Linked DNA regions of Danio rerio. The protein of the gene in region 1 interacts with the protein of each later gene in a pairwise test. Links are inferred from orthologs where the notes say so. Each region holds a gene or a part of one and is shown on either strand. Other genes may lie near its edges.

Evidence for each region.
Region 2: the proteins of agtrap (region 1) and pitpnc1b interact in binary tests that used the Homo sapiens proteins (3 or more experiments, as listed by UniProt). The two-hybrid records come from large-scale screens. The link is inferred for Danio rerio from reciprocal best matches to the Homo sapiens genes AGTRAP and PITPNC1.
Region 3: the proteins of agtrap (region 1) and pdhx interact in binary tests that used the Homo sapiens proteins (3 or more experiments, as listed by UniProt). The two-hybrid records come from large-scale screens. The link is inferred for Danio rerio from reciprocal best matches to the Homo sapiens genes AGTRAP and PDHX.
Region 4: the proteins of agtrap (region 1) and ndrg4 interact in binary tests that used the Homo sapiens proteins (3 or more experiments, as listed by UniProt). The two-hybrid records come from large-scale screens. The link is inferred for Danio rerio from reciprocal best matches to the Homo sapiens genes AGTRAP and NDRG4.

Annotation. Positions count from the first base shown.
Region 1 is NC_133186.1:18,167,959-18,172,058, reverse strand, and holds the start of agtrap (type-1 angiotensin II receptor-associated protein), read right to left. Parts: upstream 2,801-4,100; 5' UTR 2,668-2,800; coding exon 2,641-2,667; intron 2,142-2,640; coding exon 2,107-2,141; intron 1-2,106. UniProt on the Homo sapiens protein: Appears to be a negative regulator of type-1 angiotensin II receptor-mediated signaling by regulating receptor internalization as well as mechanism of receptor desensitization such as phosphorylation.
Region 2 is NC_133191.1:13,816,464-13,819,442, forward strand, and holds the end of pitpnc1b (cytoplasmic phosphatidylinositol transfer protein 1b), read left to right. Parts: intron 1-1,478; coding exon 1,479-1,630; 3' UTR 1,631-2,479; downstream 2,480-2,979.
Region 3 is NC_133200.1:40,153,115-40,155,365, reverse strand, and holds part of pdhx (pyruvate dehydrogenase protein X component, mitochondrial), read left to right. Parts: intron 1-216; coding exon 217-375; intron 376-827; coding exon 828-892; exon of another isoform or gene 893-984; intron 985-1,045; exon of another isoform or gene 1,046-1,129; intron 1,130-1,230; exon of another isoform or gene 1,231-1,334; intron 1,335-2,251.
Region 4 is NC_133200.1:14,278,394-14,281,893, forward strand, and holds part of ndrg4 (protein NDRG4), read right to left. Parts: intron 2,529-3,500; coding exon 2,466-2,528; intron 2,363-2,465; coding exon 2,302-2,362; intron 2,214-2,301; coding exon 2,070-2,213; intron 549-2,069; coding exon 445-548; intron 353-444; coding exon 296-352; intron 218-295; coding exon 166-217; exon of another isoform or gene 1-165. UniProt on the Homo sapiens protein: Contributes to the maintenance of intracerebral BDNF levels within the normal range, which is necessary for the preservation of spatial learning and the resistance to neuronal cell death caused by ischemic stress.

The DNA.
Region 1 (4,100 bases):
GCTGCTATTTGGGGATTTCCGCCTGGATTTTGCCTACCCAAATTTAAAAGCTTTTCAAATCCACATAAAGAGGTGTAAATGCAAAAATTTGGTATAATTTTAAAGAAAACCCTTTGAATTTTCATAAAACACTATTGAAAGTGTTTAAAATAACTGTATATGTTGTCTGTGTTATAATAAACACCTAAAAAAAAGAGGCGCTTTATGTTTTTTTTTTTTTAAATCTAATTTGAAAGTGTACCTTTTAGGTTCTGTGTGGTCTAGCGTGCTGTAATTAATTTTAGTGGTTCCTGCACATGTCTAAAAAAAGAAAAAAGTCTCTACCATAATCTATGCAAAAGTTATTGCATTCCAACTAATGAGAGGTGCTGTACAAGCCACAGGGACCGATCATTGTTTTCATATTTCACTATTCTTTTGTTTGATCAAATATAATTCACTGAGTTTGGACCACATCAGACATATAAAAGGATTACTTATGCACATCACCTCAAAAACAGAGGAGAATGGCCCTGAAGGGCACAGCATAAGGTAAGAGATGACAGCTGTCTGTGCTATCTGGGGCTGCTTATTGATCATAAATGTATTGTTTACATTTCTGCGCCATGGAAACACCACAATTCATTCAACAACTGTTTGGAATATGAATATAATTCAGTAAAAAGAATGCTAGAACTGAATGAGCACCGGCAAGAGATTTCAATTGAGCTATAACTTGTGACATGTGTCATATAAAAAAAAATATGAAAATGAACAATGTAAAATACCTAGCTGGGGTATCCAAAATACTGTGAATTTAAGTGTAAATAACTTTTATACAGTAGAATGAAAACCAAAGTGATGCATATGTTGATAAAATCTAGATTCTACACTTTCAAACCACACCACTTACGGGGGTCTGGTGCAATGCTAGCCCTTTAAATCTGAAAGCGAAAGTCGATAACATTCACAGACTTTAGCATTCATTTAGTTGTTTAGGTGTAAAACAAGATGAAAGACCGTTGTAACCACTAGGACTGTCAGTAGCAACAGGCTACGCAGACACTTAATTGAAAATACTGGGTAAAAATAAACTGTCATATTTTAAAGAAATGGCGGGAGGAAATGTAATTTAATGCAATTCTTCTTCTGTTATATCTAACAGGCAGTGAAGATTGCTGATTTTTAAAGAAATCAGATCTTAAATGTTACAATTTTGTAATGAAAAAACAGTTTTACTGGAAGCCCTTGGGCTGCCTGGCTGAAAATTAAAAGTCTGTGTGCAAATACCCTATATAGCCAATATATTTATATCCATAAATCCCTAAAATCTATATCCATTAAAATAAGAGATTGGCCACCTAATTTCTTTAGTAATAGAAAGCTAATACAACTAAATTCAAACATTAAAATAAAAAACCCAAATTCTAACTAAATTCTCTCTTTTTAATGTTTTAAATTTTTCCTGTTTATTAGAATTGTGTGCAATATTTTTCCCAACATAATAAATTGGCCTGTACATATTTATGGACTGTTATCTGTCATTTTTATTTAATTTTGTTAGATTAGTTTCAGTTTTAGCTAATCCAATCTACTGTATATGCTCAAATATATAACTGTATAGCATCCTACGGATTATATTAATTTCAAAGAGAGATCTGTGAGGGGCGTACTCATTTAAACAATGGCTATGGAACTAAATATTTCTTCAGTAATTTAAACTGATATGTAAAAATGTATTTAGAAGTAATTCAGTTTAAAGAAGAAAATATTAAATATTAACTATTTTTTGAACAGCTGAATTAATTTGATTGATTTGCCTCCTCGAAAAATGCACACAGTATTAATGAAATACTTTGACCTTTAACTGAAAGTGTAAAGCTTCCACTATATTTAAAATATGCAAATGGGGGATATTTGAAAATATGTGCACTTTAGTCACTTTTTCAATGTACTACTACTTAAGAAAAACAACTGTATGTTTAGGTGTTTAACAGATATTTAGAAAGCTTCAATTTGAAGAAGAAATATTTCTGATGAATAGAAAACTGGAAGATAAACATTCACCGAAGGTGAAATTCCTCAGGTTAGTGATGAAAAACAGCAAAAATGTGCCATAACTCTCACCAAACTGTCAGTATCCAGTGAACCAACAAAATGGCCTGCAGAGAGAACACATATAGTGCAGTTCATGAGTAAATGCACACATATAGTATATTATTTTCTAGAGACAGTGTGTTGCTGCACTTATAATGTGGGGTATTTATAAAACAGAAAATGTGTTATGGTCAGCATGCTTTGAACAAATTCTGCTTTAAATCAAAAGAAAGAGCAAGGATTTCCTTGTGTTTCCATTCAGAATGTTATTGTTTCCTCGCTGCACCCTCACAATAACAACAATCAACTTAATGTAAAAGCTTGCTTGCAGTTATAACAATAGCAGTTACTGATAAATTCTTTAAGAAAGTGATCTTTGAAGCCTCCCATTTGGTTTCATAAAATGTAGACTCATTTTTAAATGACAAAACCACAATGACACCACAATGACAAAACTTTTTATCTTTAAACTTTTAATGGATACTTTACCAATCAAATAATTATTTGATAATGAATAATATCAATGTACTCACTGTAATGCACAAATGATTGAAAATAAATTACCTTCAGATTTATGGCTGGTATCTCCATATTTTCACTGCCTGTTCAGAATTAAATGGTCCTATGTAGTTTTCAGTATTTCACTAAGGAAGCATGAAACACTTTCATCATAACTGTGTGTAGAAATTTGTGCTGTTCTGAAGTGACTGCAAACACAAACCATGTGACTTCAGCCTGACAAGTGTCATGTGACTACACCTCCCACCTCTGCTCATTACTCCTTCAGAGCATATAAGCACAACTAGAAAACCTGAAACAGAGTGTTATTTTAACATTAGATTTTTTTTCCTACAACAACATACAGCTAAGCGATAAATTTACATTTTTTAGGCCTAATGATACTGGAATAAAATTATAAAAACCCCATAGGTCGGCTAGTGTTAAGTAATTTTAAAATGGTAACAGTACAATTGTTTTTATTATAGATATCAAATTTATGATTTGTTTATCACAGAAAGATATTTCCAGGAAAGTTTTTTTACTCAGAAGACAAATAAAAAACTTAAAACCAGCTAAGAGATCTTTTGTATTTGAATATATTAAGACTGCACAGCTACCTTTGGATGTTTAAGAAAACAAGTTTCTTGCTATGGTATGAACTTGCCAGCTAATATGAGATTGCAATTAACCTATTTTAGTTTTAATTAATCTTCACACATTACCTTATTATAGCTATTCTTTCACTTCCACTGTTTTCTTCCTTTTATCTGTTTTCTGCTACAGAAGGATTCTTCAGCTACATCAGTCAGTTATACTCTAGCTGTGTGTGCATCTTTTTAGCATAATATTGACAATTTTTATTCATTGACAGAATATTAACAAAATACAGTAATAAAGTAGTGGGGCCCGAAGCAGGGACATACATGAATATTTATTTTGTCAATTTCCATTCCAGAAAATTTTATTGTGTTTACAAAAGCATTTATGGACCACAAGTTGTTTTTCAACAAGGTAATTGATTTTCAGCATCAAACAATGTTTGATGAAATTGTTTCATGTGTCAAAATTAATCCACGATAAAATTCATTCATTTTCTTGTAGGTTTAGTCCCTTTATTGATCTGGGTCGCCACAGCGGAATGAACCGCCAACTTATCCAGCAAGTTTTTACACAGCGGATGCCCTTTCAGCCGCAACCCATCCCTGGGAAACATCCACACACACATTCACACACACACTACGGACAATTTAGCCTACCCAATTCGCCTGTACCGCATGTTTTTGGACTGTGGGGGAAACCAGAGCACCCGGAGGAAACCCACGCGAACGCAGGGAGAACATGCAAACTCCACACAGAAACGGCAACTGAGCCGAGGCTCGAACCAGCGACCCAGCGACCTTCTTGCTATGAGGCGGCAACACTACCTACTGCGCCACTGCTTCGCCCACGATAACATTCAATAACTAATTTGCCAGAGGGATCTTAGGCCCTGTTGACACCTGGTATTAAGCTGTGTTTTCGCC
Region 2 (2,979 bases), on another chromosome or scaffold:
AGGATCTTTTTGCAGATCCTCTCCAGTTCTGTCAGGTTGGATTGTAAACGTTTGCTATTTAAGGTCTTTCCAGAGATACTCAATTGGGTTTAAGTCAGGGCTCTGACTGGGCCATTCAAGAACAGTCAACAGTCATCTTCAGGCAGTTCCTTTGACCTCTTGATTCTCATTTGCTCTAACATGCATTGTGAACTGTAAGGTCTTATATTGACAGGTGTGTGGCTTTCCTAATCAAGTCCAATCAATATAATCTAACACAGCTGGACTCAAATGAAGGTGTAGAACCATCTCAAGGATGATCAAAAGAAACGTACAAATCCTCAGTTAAATATATGAATGTTACAGCAAAGAATCTGAGTATTTAGGACCATGTAATATTTCAGTTTTTCTTTTTTAATAAATCTGCAGAAAAAAGTCAAGAATTCTGTATTTTTGTCAATATGGAATGTGGTGTGTACAGTAATGAGGAAATAATGAATTGAAATTATTTTAGCAAATGGCTGCAATATACCAAAAAGTGAAACATTTAAGGGGGTCTGAATACTTTCCGTACCCACTGTAAGTAAGAGACTGAGAACAATGAATGTGAGGTAAAATTTGTCAGCAGCATAGTAGGCACAATCTATATGCATGCCTAATGTTTGCCCTGCTAAAAAATCCAGCTTAAACCAGCCTAGGATGGCTGGCTGGTTTTAGCTGATCGACCAGCCTGGTTTTAAAGGGGTTTTGGCCACTTCCAGGCTGGTTTCCAGTCATTTCCAGCCTGGTCTTAGCTGGTCAGGCTGGAGAGGGACCAGCTAAAACCATCTAAAACCAGCTTGACAATCCTGGTTTAAGCTGGACATAGCTGGTTTTGGCTGGGCTCCCAGCCTGGCTAGGCTGGTCAAGCTGGTAGAGAATCTAGAGAATCTATGGCTCCTGAGCCGCATGTGGCTCTTTGACCAAAAATACATGGCTCTCCAGGTGTCGCCCTAATAACATACAGTTTAAGAATTTTAATCTTTCAGTGTCCTATTGAAAATACAAGAACAATTTGCATTGTATTTTATTTTATTTATTTATTTTTACAGCAAAATGAATAAGAACTATAATTAATTAACAATTGTTAAATAATTAACAATTAAAGGGCGTTTCGACCAAAGCGCGTGTGTGGTGCTGTAGATTATCTTGAATCAGGACACCAATTTAAAGGGCAAACAACTTATGTTGCTATGGTAACCTTGCGCATGTAAATTCAAACAACATTTGACGACTTGCTCAGCATACACACCCCAATGGCTCTTTAAAAAAATGCATTTGCCAAAAAAATCAGGAATGGCTCTTTGCTGAAAAAAGGTTCCTGACCACTGCTATAAGATGCTACTTCATTATTAATTTTCAAGTCATCATGACTCATCAAACATCATTTAACTCATGTAACGTTACACTAAATCAAGCACGTGTTTGTGACAAAAACTGATTGTCTCGTCTTTTTTCAGGCTCTGATCCTGCAATTCGACCCAGCTTCACTCGCTCCATCTCTGTTACGGATGAATCGTCACTGAAAAAGATGGGGGTTACGACTCTAGACATTCCAAGCTCTCAGTCCTCCCTCAAGGGTCCTGTGAGATTAAAATCAACCCCAGAATAACACCTGCAATGACCACTGCCAATACCACCTTGACATCTGCCAAATATCTCTCCACTTGGACTGTCTCTTCTAGAAAAAAACTGGTTGAAATGAAAACACAATCGTCACTTTCTGCTCACCATTCCCTGCATACCTGTGTTTAATGCAGAGGATGACATTAACAAAAGCACCTTACTAAAGAACGTTAGGTACTATGTCTAAACAGACTGGAGCGAAACCATTCAATTTTCTCCCAGACAAGACAGTCTCTACAAAATGCATTCAACCAATGGTCTATTCACCAGCCTATGAACATGAATGGATGCACATATTCATCCGAGCACAGAATGAAGATGAAGAGGCTCTATTGACATAATGAAACAACCAGCAGACAGTGTCGGTGAAACCCCCTCATATGGATCACGGCGAATGAAAGTGACTAGCCAAAATATCTAGTGGCTTACGGGATATTGAGACTAACCTTTGACCCTGTATCAATACATTGATGGAACATAATTGATTGTTTAGTCGTGCAGCACATCGTGAGAACTTTATCAATAGTACTTTGGGAGATAAGACTAAAGACAACAGCAGACTGAGCATTATGCATTATTTGACATTGATATCACATCCATCATCTGTCACTTCATGCCACATTCTCTGTTAGTCTCTGTTTAGGTTTGGTTTTTAAGGATTAAAAGGGAATTTGGTATTTTCTGTCATTTGTTGAAGAAATAGTTAAACTGACCTTAACTTGCATCTCTGGTTAAGCCAGTTTTGTTGATTAAGCTGTTCAAGCAAACAAAGTAATGTTGAAAGTGCCTCATTGTATATTTTTATAATAAATTTACTAAGGAATGCATGACATTATATGCACCACACTGGTCAATATCAAATTTTTACAAAAGTTAACAGGAGAAGTGCCATGACTTTTCACATTCTAAACAATGTTTACTATGAGTTTATGCCATTCACTGTATGTTCGCATCGCTTTGCAACGTATGGAAAACAATAGATGTTAGCCAGGCAAGGTAATAATGTTGCATTTCAGAGGCTGCATCTTTCAAAGGATGCATTTGAAGGGCGCTCTGTCATCATGGAGCTACGAAGGCGGTCTCATTTTAAAAAAATCCGAAGGCTCCTTCAAATGCAGCCTCAAAATGCATCCTTCGTTTTCCAGATAATAAAGGATACAACCGGTGGATTCTCAGCGGCCTCGAAGATTCATGGCTCACTGATAACAGCAGGACGTTTTTAAAGGAAAACTCTGGTTTAAATGTATGAATTAGGTTTATAATACTGGTTAAGAAACTGTTATACTAATCTGTCCTCGAAAACAAACGTACAGTATCTCCTACTAGGCCGTTCAT
Region 3 (2,251 bases), on another chromosome or scaffold:
TACTACTCTGATCTATACTGCATGTGTGCTCCACACTAGAGCTCCTCAGGCAGGATGAGCTGTGTGGTTATAGTCTGTTGAGGAGATGATCAGAGCCGTGTGCTGGCTGATTACTGCCTGAGTTTGAGGGAGGAGCTTGTTTTGGAGGCGGGACTTGATGTGTATGGGTCATCTCTAATAAACAGTGTGTGTGTGTGTGTGTGTGTGTGTGTGCAGGAGCTGCCTGCAGTGAACGTGTCGTGGTCTGCTGACGGGCCGCAGCCGCTGGGCTTCATCCACATCTCGATGGCGGTGGCGACGGATCGAGGCCTGATCACGCCCATCATCAGAGACGCGGCGGATAAAGGCCTGCAGGAGATCTCCAGCACCGCTAAGGTGAAGAACAGGCCCGAACACATGTGCTCCTCACTCTCAACAACACACACAGAGGAGTGAGGAGGTCCAGCATCTGCTTTACGTCAGAATCCTATAGTCTGCATGAGCCGGGAGCTGCGGTTTTACCCTTATTGTGCTGCTGTTACCATAGAAACACGATATTTAATCGGTAAACAGTGGGCGTGGCTTGTTTGTTCTACTGCGAGCTGATTGGCTGTAGTAAAGTAGGCGTGTCATTCAGAGAGATGGCAGAAGGGTTTGGGGAGAGTTATTACAGCCTAACAGACTCCTCCTCCTCACCATTCTGTCTGTTGTCATAGCGATGACAAAACTGACAGCTGGAGGGGCGTGGTTAAGTGTGTTAGCCACGCCCAATACCTCAGACAGTCGTATTGCTGTGTGCTGACCTCCTGTGTGTGTGTGTGTGTGTGTGTGTGTGTGTGTGTGTGTAGGCTCTGGCACAGAAGGCTCGGGATGGTAAACTCCTGCCAGAGGAGTATCAGGGAGGATCCTTCAGGTGAGCGTCTGCACGGTGTCGTTCACCACATATCAGCATTCACTTACTCAGGAGCTTCTGGACCGTCAGCAGTGTGTCTCCTCTGTTGAACACTGAAGCAGATATTATAGGGAAGCTGAATCTACTGATGTCTGTAGTGAGAAAAACACTTACTGTAGAAGTCGATGGTTACAGGTCTCCAACATTCTTCAAAATATCTTCTTCTGTCTTCAACATCAACAAAAGCAACTCAAACAGCTGTGGAGAAGTGAACAGAGTGTAGATGATGACAGGATGATTTTTGTTTCCTTTAATTACAGCTTTGATCAATGAAACTGATCACTTCATCAATGATTTACCGTTCCAAAGTGTTCAGAGCAGCTGCTGGCTCCACCTGCTGGTCAAACTCTGCCAGTGCAGCAAACACTCAGGCAGAGCCACACACGTTTCAGGCACACACCATCTATGCAAACCATAGATGGTTACGAGCTGATGTTAATGTTATTAATGACAGACATCATCATCAATATATTTATATATGTATATTGTTAATAAATATCGTACACAATAAACAATAGTGTTTACTATTTCACAAATATGGCAATGGGGATCAATGTTTCTGATCGCCATTCAATATAACAGTGTGAAGAGTTTTCCATCAGTCGTCATTATTATATGTCAGAGTCAGTATAGCAGATATTTATTTGCTGACTGCTGTTTTCAGAGATATACACCATCTACATTGGACAGGTTTCATTTATATGAAGGATTCATTATAATGAAGGGAAAAGAGCCAGTTAATATGTATATAATAGATCTTTATATGTCATGCAAATCTTTTAATGAATGTAGAACACTATATTAATCTTGTACTCCAGTGATTGAATAGCATTTATTTCTAATAACTTTTTTATTAATGATTTCCCACATTAAACACTGGAGTAATTTATAGTAAGTAAAATATTGTTTTTAAATCATAAAGTGCTGGCAATTATAATTACAACATATAGTAATACAGACAAATTAACTGTTAATATATATATATATATATATATATATACATATATATATATATATATATATATATATATATATATATACACACACACACACACACACACAACAGTTCTGTCTGGTTCTCAAATCTGATTGGCTGAAAGCCGTGCGATATTCTGCAATATCAGAACTCTTACAGCCTCTTTACGGTTTGTGTATTACTCCGCCCACATACAGCCAGCAGAAAGCAGACACTCCACATCTGAAGTGTAAAAGATGCTTGCTCAGCTGTTTCACTGTCAGCTTATGATTTGAATCCAAGGCGGAAGAAAGTAGTTCCTCATACAAAAGGGGTTTTGAGACTCTCCATGTTTGATTTAGTTT
Region 4 (3,500 bases), on another chromosome or scaffold:
CTCTCTGTTTACTTTTAGAATTTCAAAATCCTTCATCACTTAAATTAACATTAATAATGTCATGTGCATATTTAAACAAAATTTTTAAGTGTATGGTAATAACTATTACTGTAGTTAATGTTTTAACTTTCTCTTTTCTTCTGAAGGATGATGAACAGAACTCACCACCCCCTCCTCAGCCGGAGCATTGTCCCCAACTACCAGCATGACTGGGCATCTGCAAGAAAAACAGTTCAAACTTCAGCCTGAACAATGAGGTACAGTTAGGTAAAGTCTAATTAATTTAGTTCCTCACCTGAGGGTCTTAGCATTTATCACAGAGCCACTGCGGTTCATTTCCAAATCCCTGCGGCTAAGAGGGAAAACATTTTGAAATAAGCACTTTTATTCTCTTAATGCATTTTCTATCATTTTATGCAGATTAATTAGGCGGTGAATGTTTACCTGTTGTACATATTCCAGAAGAGCTGCAGGTTGAACTGGTTGATGGTGTTGTTGATCTGCTGGCGGTAGTTCTGCACAACTTCTGTGTTGCTCATAAGCTCCTCCTGTCATTCAAATACAATTTTGTTATTTTAGGTCAGTATTGAGAATTCTACCTAAATTTAAAGGGATGGTTTACCCAAAACTGAAAGTTTGTTGCCACTTTATATTGTGACCTTAAATAATATGTACTTACACTGAAATCAATAATTTGTTTCTATGTACTTATTGTGTAAATACAGGTTTTTACATTGTACTTAAGGCCCAATCACACCAGGACACTTTTTGCTTGCGTTTTCCAATGACGTTTAATGCCTCTTGACTAAATAAAGGGTGCCAATGACATTGTGCACACTAACGCGCAAAAACACCAGGCGTAAAAGCGCCATTTTTAAAGAAACGCCTCATGGTAATTTTTTTGTTTTGACGTGCCACGTCAAAACCTTCTCGACCAATCAGATTAGCACTTTTGTACACATGCACAAACTGCTGAAGTTAGAGTAAACAGCACTTAGAGGCGCTCAAGCACAAAACTGTCAATGCCAGCGCACATTGACGAAGATGCCCAGAAGCGATATGAGCATGGAGCTGCTTATTACACTGGTGAATAATAATAATTTCTTCGTCGCTAGAGCTGCTACTTGAACCACACATGCTTGTTCTAATCGCCAGTAACTTTAACAGCAAGCGTTTCAACTTTCTTTTTCTGTGTTACAAGCGGGTGTCAGATGCTTAAAGTTGCTTAAAGAGGCTTAAAGTTGTGTACTGGTGTCTGCTAGACACCAGTGAAAAATCGCTTGGGTTTGAATGCGGAAAAACGTCTCGAAAATGCTGACAATAAACGCAAACGAAGCATCCTGGTGTGTTTGAACCTTTATGCTTAATTAAATACCTGTATACCTTAATTAAATACCTGCATTTCTGTAATTACATTTAGAATTACATTTTTGACCATCCCATACACCTTAATCCACTTTTAAACACACCTCTAACCTTACCCATATCTCACCTCAATAGCACAAGACAAGTTCTGCAATACTTTATGAACACATTAAGTACATTACACTTATTTTGTCTATATTGCCTATATTTTGATGCAAGTACATAATAGTTAATGACATAATATAAAGTGGGATCGAAAATTCTGTCATCATTTACTCAGCCTTTACTTGTCACAAACCTGTTTGAGTTTCTTACTACTTCTGATCCCAAAGGATGTTTGAAACCGGTAACTACTGACGTCCATAGTATTTGTTTTTCCTTCTCTGGATGTCAATGGTTAACGGTTTCAAGCATGTTTTGAATATCTTCTTATGTGTTCAACAGAAAAAAGAAAGTCAAACAGGTTTTGAAGCATTTGAGGGAGAGTGATGAATACCCTTTAATTTTTTAATTCATTAAAAGAGTCTTTTAAATCTAAATATGAATAACTAAAATTTTTGTTATATAAATCATAATTAAAGTGAAAGACTTTTTACGTGTGTGTCTTCTGTAGATACATAACACATCTTTTACTTTTCATCCCAACCACCTTTAAATTGACTTTATTTAAAAAAAAAAAAAAGCAATGTAGGCTAGTATTGTACCTGGCTGAAAAGATGGGTCAGTACGGTGTCTGGTAAAGTACTGGTGAGTCCTGACAGTTTAGTGGCAGCCCAGTCGATCCATCCTTTTCCATTGGGATCAATGTTTAGCAGAACCAGACCCTCCACAAGATCAGGGAAAATCAGCTGCGAGTAGACATGCAGAATTGCATTAAATGTAAATAATTAATAATATAAACTAATATAGTAAAGTAAAAGGAGGAGATGTACTAACCGCGAATTTGGCCAGGATGTAGGCTCCAGCCCCAACTCCAATTCCGACAATGCTTTTGAAGCTAAAACGAAAAGAGAGAGAGTTGACTAATTTAAATAAGGACATTTAAGGAATGGGTTTACTATTATAGCTCATTGTTTTGAATATAATCAAACAACTCTTACCCAAAGTGTTGCACCACACTAGGAAGCATCCCAGCTAGCTGATCCATAGTGGGATACTGATATCTAGCAATAACAACATAAATAAACAGTTATATATTCATTGATATTTCATGACATCTAACTGGTCAACATTTAGTGCTCAAATATTTCTTTATATCTATCCACCATCCTGTCTGTTTCAGAAATTAAGCAAGATTTTACTACAAATAAATCATGGCTTCTGTAGATAAAACCATGGTGACCACAAATTAACCATGGCTTTGCTGTTTCGTAATGGACTCTCTCTCTCTTTAGTGGAGATTCTAACATTATTTCCGATTATGAGGGAATAATATACCTCACACAATATTTCATGGCACATTCATGGTAACTTTGTGTTTAGTAGAGCTGTGTAAAACTGTTTGAAAAATCGATTCTGAGACTTTGAGCTTAGTTCTTAACAGCAGAAGGCGCTGTATGGCTTACAAACTGCCATACTCTGCTTGCACTGCAATTCCATACAAATACCACTTGAACCTAAAATAATTATTAAAGTTAGGAAAGGTTTAAGTGAATTACAAGTGTTCATAATGAGCGTTCATGTCTTTGATCGCATGGCATCAAAGCCAACTTGCATGACTGGAATGCAACTCTTCCTCCTGAGCATTCGAGTGTAGCTATTCTTAAAATCTGAACTAGAGCGCCATCTGCTGGTAAAACTAACTTAGAGCGCCATCTGCTGTTAGTAGCTAATCTAGCGTGCCATCTTCTTTTAAAAACTAATCTAGAGTGCCATCTGCTGTTAAAAACTAGACTAAGGCACCAACTGCTGTTAAAAACTAAACTAAAGTTCCATCTGCTGTTAATAACAAGCCTAGAGCACAAGCTGCTTGTAAAAACTAAACTAGAATGCCATGTGCCATTAAAAACTATTCTAGAGCGCCATCTGCTGTTAAAAGCTGGTCTAGAGCACAAGTTGCTGTTACAAATGGGTGTAGTATACATACACACACACACACACACACACACACACACACACATATATATATATATATA